Caenorhabditis elegans: one gene and its partners. The protein of the gene in region 1 interacts with the protein of each later gene in a pairwise test. Each region holds a gene or a part of one and is shown in the gene's direction. Other genes may lie near its edges.

Region 1 (3,759 bases):
TAGGTACATATATCAAAGGGTTAGTGCGACGTGCAAAAAATGTGTCTCCGAAAAACGTTATCAACTTTCTCTTTATCAAAAATTTCAATTTGTAATCAGCGAAAAAAGGGAATAGTAAAAAATAGTAAAAGTAAAAAAGGGAATACTAGCTTAAAGAGGAAAACTAAGTTTTTTGGGATTCAATTTCACTTGTTCTAAATGTAGTTTGAAACTCATCAGAAAACAATCACGGAATAAGTTGGCTTGTAGAATCAATTAACGAGACCCGGAAGTCAACTTTTTGTTACCCTTTTTTTGCAAATTTGATGGAAAAAAGTCCCTCCGTTGTCTAATCCTTATCCCCCACTACGAACCAAGACCAATCCGAAAACCAATTGAGTGCCGCACGAAACCAAAATTGGGGTCCTATCGAGAGGACTGCTGACTGAAAGATAAATTATAGTATTCCTGAGTTTTTTTTTCTAGAGTGTGTGTATGTCTAAGTTGGAGTCAAAATAGCTTATGTTGTTTTTCTTTTTATTTTCAAGTTTTAAATTCTCTCTTTAATGCTATATGCTACCCTTCATAAATACGGGGTCATGAATTGAATTTTCCTGGAAAAAAAGAACCAAAATAAAATTAGAACTAGTTCCTTGTTTTAGTTTTTTATTTCACTTAAAGTTTTAATCTAATTGTGTCGTTTCCAGACATATATTTCTGCGATTAATTCTTACTTTCCAGGTTATATTAAAAATAATTTCATTACTTGACATTTTCCAATCATGGCTGTGCCTGATAGAATTAAAATAGAAGAAACTCGGAACGTGCATTTTCATTAGACAAACTTAATCAAGCCGCCGTGGTTGTTTTAGTGAGTCCGTCGACATCATCACACATGTGGATATGTAGAAAAAAGCAAAGGAAAAATGGAAGGGTGCTGCAATTTCAAAAGGGAACCCTTTTTTCTGTTTGTTTTTTGTTCCGATTGCATGTCATTTCTTTAGAGAAAGAACCACTACGGTATCTTGCACTTTTCCGTTTTTTTAGATTGTTGCTGGAGATGAAACATAACATACTGACAATTTTTAAAATTACATTATTAATTACATTAATTACATAATTACATTTTTTGAAATTTGATTTGGTGTCGCTCCTTTTTTAAAGTTAAGTTAACTAAAATTTGTAATAAAATCAAAATTCAGAAACTCGCAAAATGTCAGCCAAGTTTAGAACATTTAATGTTTAATAAATGTTGTCCCGTATGTGGCTATATTTTTTAAAATAATTTATCCGTGGCTACAAACAGAAATTCGCGCTTAACATTGCCTGCGCTTGTTGTCAAAAATTTCAACAGTAGAGATGATTGCTTGCCCAAAATTTATTTTTAATTTTGTTCTGAATTTTTAACCAATCATACTAAATATTTTATGCTTTTTAGCTAAATTTTTAGCTAAATTGACAATTTATCATAATTTCGGATTATTATAATATATAAATTTCTGTGAAGTCCAATATATCACAATTATCTGTAAGTGCAAAAACCAACAAACCCTATTTTCTTCAAATTATTTTGAGTTTTTTTTTAAACTTGTAGGTGGTATATTAACAGCCGAATGCATGCTCCTCAAAACGGATGTAGAAACATCTGCAAAATTTTCCAAAAGTTTTGTACATGATTAAATACATAGTATCAAGAATGTCACACCAAATAAAATGTTCTCGAAATATTCGAAATTTCTAGGTATAACTATTTTCAAATCTCATATTCTTTTCACAATTTTCAGAAAAATTAAAATTTCTGGCCATCGAACTTACTCTAGGCAGTAGCACACCAGAGTAAATAGCATGCGTGAAATTGACCGTAAATCTTCAGAATGCCACTTTCTAATGCCCACTTTTCTCATCTCTTACTCTAACGAAAAGTGCGGTTTTTCGGTATTTTTGGTTTCGTTTTCTAATCCCGGATGTTTCATTTCCTTCCTTAAACTTTGATGAGTTGCTGGACTATACATATTTCAAGAATCACAATACTTTTTGTTTCTATTTCGGAATATCAGTGTTTCATGACGTTTTTGTTCTTCTTATCTAATTCGATTCTTGACTTTTCACTCCAATGGACCGTGATCATTTTTTTGTTTCAGAGCGGAAATGAATCACACTTCTAGTGAAAACTTCACAACGGACACTACAGAAGCATTGCTCAACGATACATAGTAAGTGACTGAATTCTTTTTCAGAAAACTGATATCATTTTCTCGTCGGGCCCATGCTGCTCTAATGAGGCTAGCGTGACAAAATTGAGTGCACATACGATGAGAAAAATGCAAACTAGATAGATTTGAAGTGATGGGTGCAAAAAAGATGCAAAAGTTTATGATGCGTTTGCGTTCTGTTAACAAATGCATGAAGGATGTGGCTTAAGAGTTTAGGGTTCAGAGTTGAAAAAATAAAGTGTTTGGTTTGAAGATTTTATGAATTGTTAGATCGAGAATCGTATTTATTTCATTAAGTTCTTGATATTTTTATGATCTTTCTTTTCACAAATCCAATATTTCTCTCACTTGGAGTTGGAATTAAAAATGAAATATTGATAACTTCATTCTTCCTAAAAATCGAGTACTGCTTCAAGCAAAAAAGGCAAAAATCTTTCTGTTAAATATTCGTGGTTGTGTTGGCCTTTTTGTTACTGCCGAATCCCGGAATGTTTTTAATTTGATGCATCAATAATTTTCCTTAGGCCTAAAACTGCAAAACTTCCAACCAGCATATCTATTGCATAAGTACTGAGCAGAATCAGAATTTTTTTTTGACAAACAGTACGAGTCAGTTTAAAACATGTTTTGATTGTTCTAGAAATATTGGTCACTTCAGAAGCGGTATTTGCAAAACACAACGTTTTTTTTTTGTTATTTGTACTCAGTCTCGGGACCCTTTGGTTGTTGCTCTCTACAGAATAATAAGGAAAACTCGTTATCACGTGATGAACTTTGCTCGGCGGAATAAAGAATCTGAAGGACCCTTCATTGTGTTCTGCATTAAGCTGCACGCCATTTTCAAAAAGAATTTTAGTTTTGGAAATATTGCTATTATTATTATTCCTGTAAATGTATGCTTAGGAATTCCTTTTTCTAGTATTGTAGCATCTAATACAATTTTCATCAAAGACATAAATGTCAATTTCTATCGGCTGTTCTCTCCCTGTGAATAATACGACAATTATATTAAATTAATTTTCATTAGTGAATAAGCGTAAGTAAACTAGAAACAAAAACGTCACTGACCCCAGCTGAGCAGTGGAACAACATTGTTCTTAACTCAGTAAAAAAAAAGAACATTCCTTATTTTAAACCAGGCAAAAAAACAACATGCTCACTGAACGACTATGTAAATGTTCCAATATTCGTTGGAAAAAGTACACATCCCAACGCAATATTGAAAATCTCACGGAGCGACTATTTGTTGAGCGCATAAATCTTACAAATCTCTACTCAAGAGTCAATCGACTTTTTCATTTTCTCACACTTGAGACATCTACACATTCACAATAAAATCGAATTTTCCATTGCTTCTAATTGTTTTTATTTTTAAATTTTTTCCACACCTAGCTTTTGTAAAATGAAAACTTGTGTCGTAGCAAGATTTAATAGAAAAAATGATTTAAGAAGTCCATTGCAAAAGTATTAAATTTTTTATTATAATACCGGATAAGATTCACATAGAAAGTTTAGCCGAGATCAGTCCGACTAGAATTTGATGTGTCAGATTTGATATTTGGATTGC
Region 2 (3,329 bases), on another chromosome or scaffold:
TAGTTTGGAAATTTTTGTTCTTCGATTTATTGATTTTTTCGAAACTCTTGCCCATATTTACTTGTTTTTTCTCATTTTTTATCGAAATTTAAATGAAACAAATTAGTTTAAGTGCTATATTTTTTTTATTCAACAGAATAAGTTCAAAACTTCCCGAAGATCAAATTTCTGTGGATTGTTACTCTTTTTTCACTGTTTTTTGTTGCAATACTCTCAATAAATTCAACTTTTCCAGCTAAAACCATGCTGCTCTCCGTCAAAACGTCGACTGGAAAAACCATCACAGTGGAGGCGCCGAAAAATGTGAAAACTGAAGTTCGCGACAAACAGGGAGTCGTTTTCACAGTCTCTTACGGTATTTATCGATTTTTTTTTTGGTTTTTATTTCAATATATGTTTATTTTTTCAGGAGAAGTAACCGGAGATCCAATCACTGTTGAAGCATCGGACGCCATCAAGGATCTTAATTTCAAGGTTGCCGAGGCTCAGCGAAAACCGCATCGTGAAGGAATGCGAATTTACGTTAAAACTTGTGAAAAAACGATCACTCTTGACACTGCTGCCTCCGATACCATTGCAAGTGTTAAGGCTAAAATCTAGGAAAAACGAGGTTTTCCATCAAATCTGCAGAAACTATATTTGGGTTAGTACTTTGAAACTGATAGCTTGTCTAATTTCTTTAGTTTTTACAGAACCTTCCAACATTGTTTTGTGCAAGGATCAACGTACTATTTCTGACTACAACATCAAAAACGGCAGTACTCTCCGTTTGGAAGTTCCTGTAAAAGAAAAACTGACGGTTTCTGTGAAAACCTTATTCGGAAAGACGATTCCTATTTCAATCAAGAATACGGATACTGTTGAGACATTGAAGTTCAAGGTTCAGAATAAACACGGTGTTCCACCAGATCAGCAGCGTCTCATTTTCGGTCGGGCACAGCTCGAGAATGACCGTGCTCTGTTCGCCTATAACATTCGTGATGAGGATATTATCCATTTAGTCTCCAGACATCGGTTGTGAAGTTCTCAATTTGATTGCTCTTAATCTGTTGTTTTGTTACTTTTTTGTTTTTTATTGTTGATAAATGTTGAAGGTTTTTTTTTTAATTTTTAAATTAAAAACACTGTCTCAAAATATTACAGGTACCATATTTATGATATATGAGGGTTTTTTTCCAGTAAATTCTTCTGTGTTCTGAATTTCCGACTTAAACATTTTATTTCGATGGTTCAGAAAATTGGTTTTTCAGGTTTTTGGATACTTCAGGCTGATATTTTGAAATACTCGAATTTAATTCAATTTAGCATTATTCAACCCGCTAGAATTTCTGTTGGCACATGTTTCTTCAATTAGAATTTCTATTATTTAAAAAACCACAAAGAATTTAATAAAAAATCAGCGAAACTACGGTAGACGAGGAAGTAGGCAGTTGCACACGATACACATTAAATAATTGACTTTTCCGTTTTTCTTGATTCAGTACTCGAAATGTTTTCATCGAAAACTTAGAAAAAAGTTTTTTAATATAAATGAAATTTCAATAAAATTTGCGCGTCAATTAAAGTGTTCTTTGTGCATTGTGAACTTTTTTTGCTTACCGTAGTTTTGCAATATTTGTTTTTCGATTTATTGACTTTTTCAACGCAATTCTTCTTTATAGCTTGCTTTTTGCCCGTAATTCATCAAAATCTTGATAATAATATTTATTAATTCATTCTATTCATATTTTTAAGAAAAATCATTTCGAAATTATCCAAAAACCAGATTTCTCCCTTGTTTGCTTCTTTTTTCACCGTTGTCCTCGTTTTTCTGTTGCAAAACTCTCAATAATATTTAATTTATAAATTTTTCCAGCTAAAATCATGCTGCTCTCCATCAAAACGTCGACTGGAAAAAACATCACAGTGGAAGCGCCGAAAAGTGTGAAAACTGAAGTTCGCGACAAACAGGGAGTCGTTTTCACTGTCTCTTACGGTATTTATTGTTTTTTTCTGGGTTTTGCATTAAAAAAATCATTTTCAGACAAAGGTACCGGAAATCAAATCATTGAAATGGAGGACACTGTCCAAGATGTCAAAATTCAAGAGGCTCAGCAAGCACCGCTTCGTGAATCAGAAGAAGTGACCGAAGATCCCATCAGTGTCGAATCATCGGAGGTCATCGGAAATCTGAATGTCAAGGTTGCCGAGACTCAGCAAGAACTGCATCATGAAGGAATCCGAATTTACGTTGAGAACGCTGGAAGAACATGCACACTTGACACTTCCGCCTCCGATACCATGGCAAGTGTCAAGGCTAAAATTTGGGAAAAACTAAGAATCCTCCCAAATACGCAAAAACTATTATTGGGTTTGTACTTTAAATATTGAAAGATATGTCTAATTTCTTTAATTTTTACAGAAAACTGGGACCTAGATTTGTTTAGCGATCATAGCACTCTTTTTGACAACAGTTTCGAAAACGGCAGTACTCTTCGTTTGGAAGTTTCTATAGAAAAAGAAATTGACGTTTTTGTGAAAACCTATACCGGAAAGACAATCACCATTTCAATCTAGAATACGGATACTGTTGAGACCTTGAAGCTCAAGATTCAGGATAAGGAAGGTATTCCACCAGATCAACAGCGTCTTATTTATCAAGGATCGCAGCTCGAGGATGACCGTACTTTGATTGCCTATAACATCTATAATGAGGCTACTCTCCGTTTAATTCTCAGACTTCGTGGATGAAGTTCTCAATTTGAATATTGTTAATTTGTTACTTGTTATTTTGTTACTGTTCTGTTTATTTTTGTTGATGAATGTTGAAAAAGTTTAGATTTTTTTGAAATTAAAAATATGGTTTTTAAACAGCCGGTATATTTCTTTGTGTTCTGAATTTCCAACGTAAAGAATCTTTTTCAGTGATTCAGAAAGTGTGCTTTTCAGGTTTTTCGTTAATTTCTGTATTTCTCTATCATAGAATACATTTCAACTCACAAGAATTTTCGTTAAAAACCACAAAAAAATTAATAAAAAATCGGCAAAACTATGGTAGACGAGAAAGTACGCTGTTGCGCACAATGCATGTTAATTGACGCGCAAACAGTTTTTTGTAATATTTTTTTCCTGTTTTGCTTGATTCAGTACTTGAAATGTTTCTTTTCAAATATTATAATAGTTTTTTTTAAAATTTTCTGCAAAAAATGCTGAAATTCTAATAAAACCAAAAAAAAACTCAAAAAACGGCATGCGCGTCAATTCATGCGCATTGTGTTCATTGTGAACTTTTACGCTTACCGTAGTTTGTCGAGATTTGTTTTTCGATTTATTGATTTTTTCGAAACTCT
Region 3 (3,670 bases), on another chromosome or scaffold:
AGGGAAAAATTGAAAAATTGAACGGGAATGCGGATAGTCTAATGTGAACATTTTAATTGATAATATTGATAATAGTCAAGAAATACATCTGTTGAAGTATTTTCAGGGTGTCTACCAACAATTTTCTTATTCGTTTGTTTGTACAGGAATATTATATTATACTTTTTTTTCGTTTTGTGACTATATAGTAAACTAGGTTTTGCAAAACAATTCTGAAGCCAATTTTAACCAATTATCCTTATGAAGTGCTTCCAATACTCCTAAAACTTTTTTTATTTCAGATAAATTTTCAGAGATTCTAAAAGTATGTTTTGAGGAACGCCGTGCTCAGTGATATAATTTTTCAGAAACACACCAATGTTTTCATAATGTATATTAACAAAGCAATGCACTCAATTTTCAAGTTAAAATAAATCTAAAATATCCAGTTTTACAAACTAAAATGTTTCATTTTTACCTGGAGTCAATGCAATATACAATGAATCAATAAGTGTCTCCCTGGCTCCAATAATTGTCTCATCGGAAAACCAAATCTTCTCCCAATCATACGTTGAATACTCTGTCGTTGTCGATATTTTATTTTTAACCATGTTTGAAATTTTAATTTCTTACCATCACAAATCTGAAATTTGAAATAATTTGTAAGAACAAAATTGCGAGAGTCGAATAAATGTTACTCAACCCATATGTACTACAAGAAAAATAAAACAGCATCCATGAGTGGAAGTTGAAAAAAAAGAATGAAGTTCGGCATCGTTGTCAGGACAGCTGAGAATCTGAATTTCCACCTGTTTTTCTGATAAAACCGTTGCTATCAACAACAAGTAGCATTCAACTTTAAATTTGAAATAAATCAGAAAAATGGTAGTTTGGAGGTTTGGTCTTGATATTTTGGAGGCAATCTGAAAATTATACTTGGCAGTAATTTCATTTTTGGTTTAGAGATTATATTGCAATTATGAAGCACACTGAAATAAAATAATTGGTTCCTCTAAAAAAAAGTTATTTTTAATACTCTATCTGCAAAAAACTTTGAAAATTTTTAGAAAATAGATGTGCCAAGGCGCATTGTTTTTCTATGTGAAAGACTTCAAAAATGTACGCACTTCGAATATCAGAAAATTTTATCAGAATAATCTTGAACTCGGATGATTCCCTTCGGTCCATTACAAAAATGCAACTGCTCAAAGATAATGTTCCTTTGAAGTATTCTTATCAAATCATCAAAAATCAAATTATATAAATCTAATACAAAATAAAATTTGACAAATTCGTTAAATATAGATGATAGGAAAAGTATTTTGTGTATATTGTTATCATATAAAACCAGTAGACATTGCCGACTTGAAAGTTATCATATTTTTTTTGTCAGATTTTTGGTTTCCGTAGTATTCGAGTATTTTTTTAGGCGTTCACTTTGTCTCTAGCCTGCTTCCCATATTTTCACCGTATTTTGGAATTTTGAGTTTTCAGAAAATATATGTACGGAAGTAAAAATCGTTAAAATACATTTTCCACAGTAATGATTGATGAAAACTGATTATTTTTATTTTTTCACTGTGAAGAGAACATTTCAAAAATTGTTTCACACTTTAATAAAAAATAGATCATTTTAGCAACACAGAAGTTATTTCAAACATTGTCCCACTGGAGCTTTAACAAAAAATTCCTAAAACTTCAAAACCAAATAAACATAATCAAACCTTTTCCAAAATTTAAAACTAATTTCTGGTTTTTACCTCATTTGTTCAAGGTTGTATTCTTTAATCCTAATTTGTTATTTTAGGTCATTTGAATTCCATGTTCTAATTGGATTGAAAATATCCTAGTTACGCAATGCTTTCACTTTCTCAAAAACTATAATTGATTCAAATTTAAGCGATTAAGGTGTTCAACATCACCCGATTAGATCACGTATTGTGTAACACCCGAAAGTTGTCAAAAGCTTCTTTTTTGTTTCAAGCCGATACCAGCCTTTTCATTCGTTCATTACAATGTCATAGACAAAAGAAAAAAGAGAGGGACGGAGGAAGAAGATGCATACGTGCGTGCCTACCGATCAAGTTTTTCTCTTTTTGTGTTGCCAAGGCTAGGTATCTTTTGTGGGTGGAGTCTGATTTTGAGGCAACTATAAAAGAAACATTGACAATGAATTATTCAGTTTCCAAAATGGATCTCGAACAGCGTATTAAAGCCTACCGCTTCGTTGCCTACTCGGCCGTTGCTTTCTCCGTCGTCGCCGTTATTTCGGTAAGTCATCACTTAAAAAAACTATAATTTTAAAACATAGGAAACAATTAAAGTAACTCTTTATTTTCAGGTATGCGTCACCCTTCCAATGGTGTACAACTATGTCCACCATGTGAAGAGAACCATGCACTCAGAGATCAACTTCTGCAAGGGATCCGCCAAGGATATCTGGTCCGAGGTCAACCAATTGAAATCCATCCCATCTGGAAACCGTACCGCCCGTCAAGCTGGATATGATGCTGGAGTCACCGGAGGAGCCGCCTCTGCTGGAGGATGTGATGCTTGCTGCCTTCCAGGAGCCGCTGGACCAGCCGGAACCCCAGGAAAACCAGGACGCCCAGGAAAGCCAGGAGCACCAGGACTTCCAGGAAACCCAGGACGCCCACCACAGCAGCCATGTGAGCCAATCACCCCACCACCATGCAAGCCATGCCCAGCCGGACCAGCTGGAGCCCCAGGACCAGCTGGACCAGCCGGAGATGCCGGAGCCAACGGAAACCCAGGAGCCCCAGGACAAGACGGACAGCCAGGAGCCCCAGGAAACAAGGGACCATCTGGACCAAACGGAAACCCAGGAGCCCCAGGAGCCCCAGGACAGCCAGGACAAGATGCTCCATCCGAGCCAATCACCCCAGGAGCACCAGGACCAGCTGGACCAGCCGGACCACAAGGACAACCAGGAGCCCCAGGACAGCCAGGACACGATGGACAACCAGGAGCCCCAGGACCAAAGGGACCAAATGGAAACCCAGGAGCCCCAGGAGCCGACGGAAACCCAGGAGCCCCAGGACAAGCTGGAACTGCCGGAGGTGCCGGAGAGAAGGGAATCTGTCCAAAGTACTGCGCCATCGACGGAGGAGTCTTCTTCGAGGACGGAACTCGCCGTTAAATTTTTCTCATTTAAAGAAAATAAACTATTCTTCATTCAATATTTTTTGTTTGTTTTGCATACAGGGCTAAATGTTTAAAAGAAAGAAACACTGTAAATGACAAAAAATTAAAAAAATTTTTTTTTTGTATTTGTACATAGTTATTTACAGAATCAAAAATCCAAGAAAGCACTTGTGCCAAAGTTATGAAGAAGTATAGCTTTTTAAAAATATCAAAATGTGAACTATTGCTTATCAAAATCATAATAATCGTGATAATCAGAATGTTCTCCAAAGTGATTGAATGATCTTGATCTTCCCATTGAAATCACACTCTCTGAAATTGGAAATATCACTTGAAATGTAATCAAAAGTAAATTAATTTTACCTCGCTTATTGGAAATATTGACCCGTTTTCTAGGCGGTTCCTGTTTTGGCTCTTCTGTTACTTTTGGAATATCTTGAGATTCTTCATCTGAAAAGAAATAAATTCAAATAAATTCAAGTCAAATTGCCAACTTACCAACTTCCACGATACAATCTGGATTACT

What was found.
Region 2: the proteins of npr-10 (region 1) and F52C6.3 interact in a two-hybrid assay, tested with the Caenorhabditis elegans proteins (one large-scale study listed by BioGRID).
Region 3: the proteins of npr-10 (region 1) and col-125 interact in a two-hybrid assay, tested with the Caenorhabditis elegans proteins (one large-scale study listed by BioGRID).

The regions. Positions count from the first base shown.
Region 1 is NC_003284.9:13,031,065-13,034,823, reverse strand, and holds the start of npr-10 (G-protein coupled receptors family 1 profile domain-containing protein), read left to right. Parts: upstream 1-2,119; 5' UTR 2,120-2,192; intron 2,193-3,759.
Region 2 is NC_003280.10:1,922,904-1,926,232, forward strand, and holds F52C6.3 (Ubiquitin-like domain-containing protein), read left to right. Parts: upstream 1-1,855; 5' UTR 1,856-1,863; coding exon 1,864-1,975; intron 1,976-2,023; coding exon 2,024-2,350; intron 2,351-2,401; coding exon 2,402-2,556; 3' UTR 2,557-2,817; downstream 2,818-3,329. Other genes in the region: F52C6.4 (Ubiquitin-like domain-containing protein), read left to right, coding at 244-355, 410-600.
Region 3 is NC_003282.8:11,223,347-11,227,016, forward strand, and holds col-125 (Nematode cuticle collagen N-terminal domain-containing protein), read left to right. Parts: upstream 1-2,159; 5' UTR 2,160-2,169; coding exon 2,170-2,250; intron 2,251-2,320; coding exon 2,321-3,139; 3' UTR 3,140-3,170; downstream 3,171-3,670. Other genes in the region: C29F4.3 (G_PROTEIN_RECEP_F1_2 domain-containing protein), read right to left, coding at 458-590; best-7 (Bestrophin homolog), read right to left, coding at 3,365-3,456, 3,508-3,594, 3,643-3,670.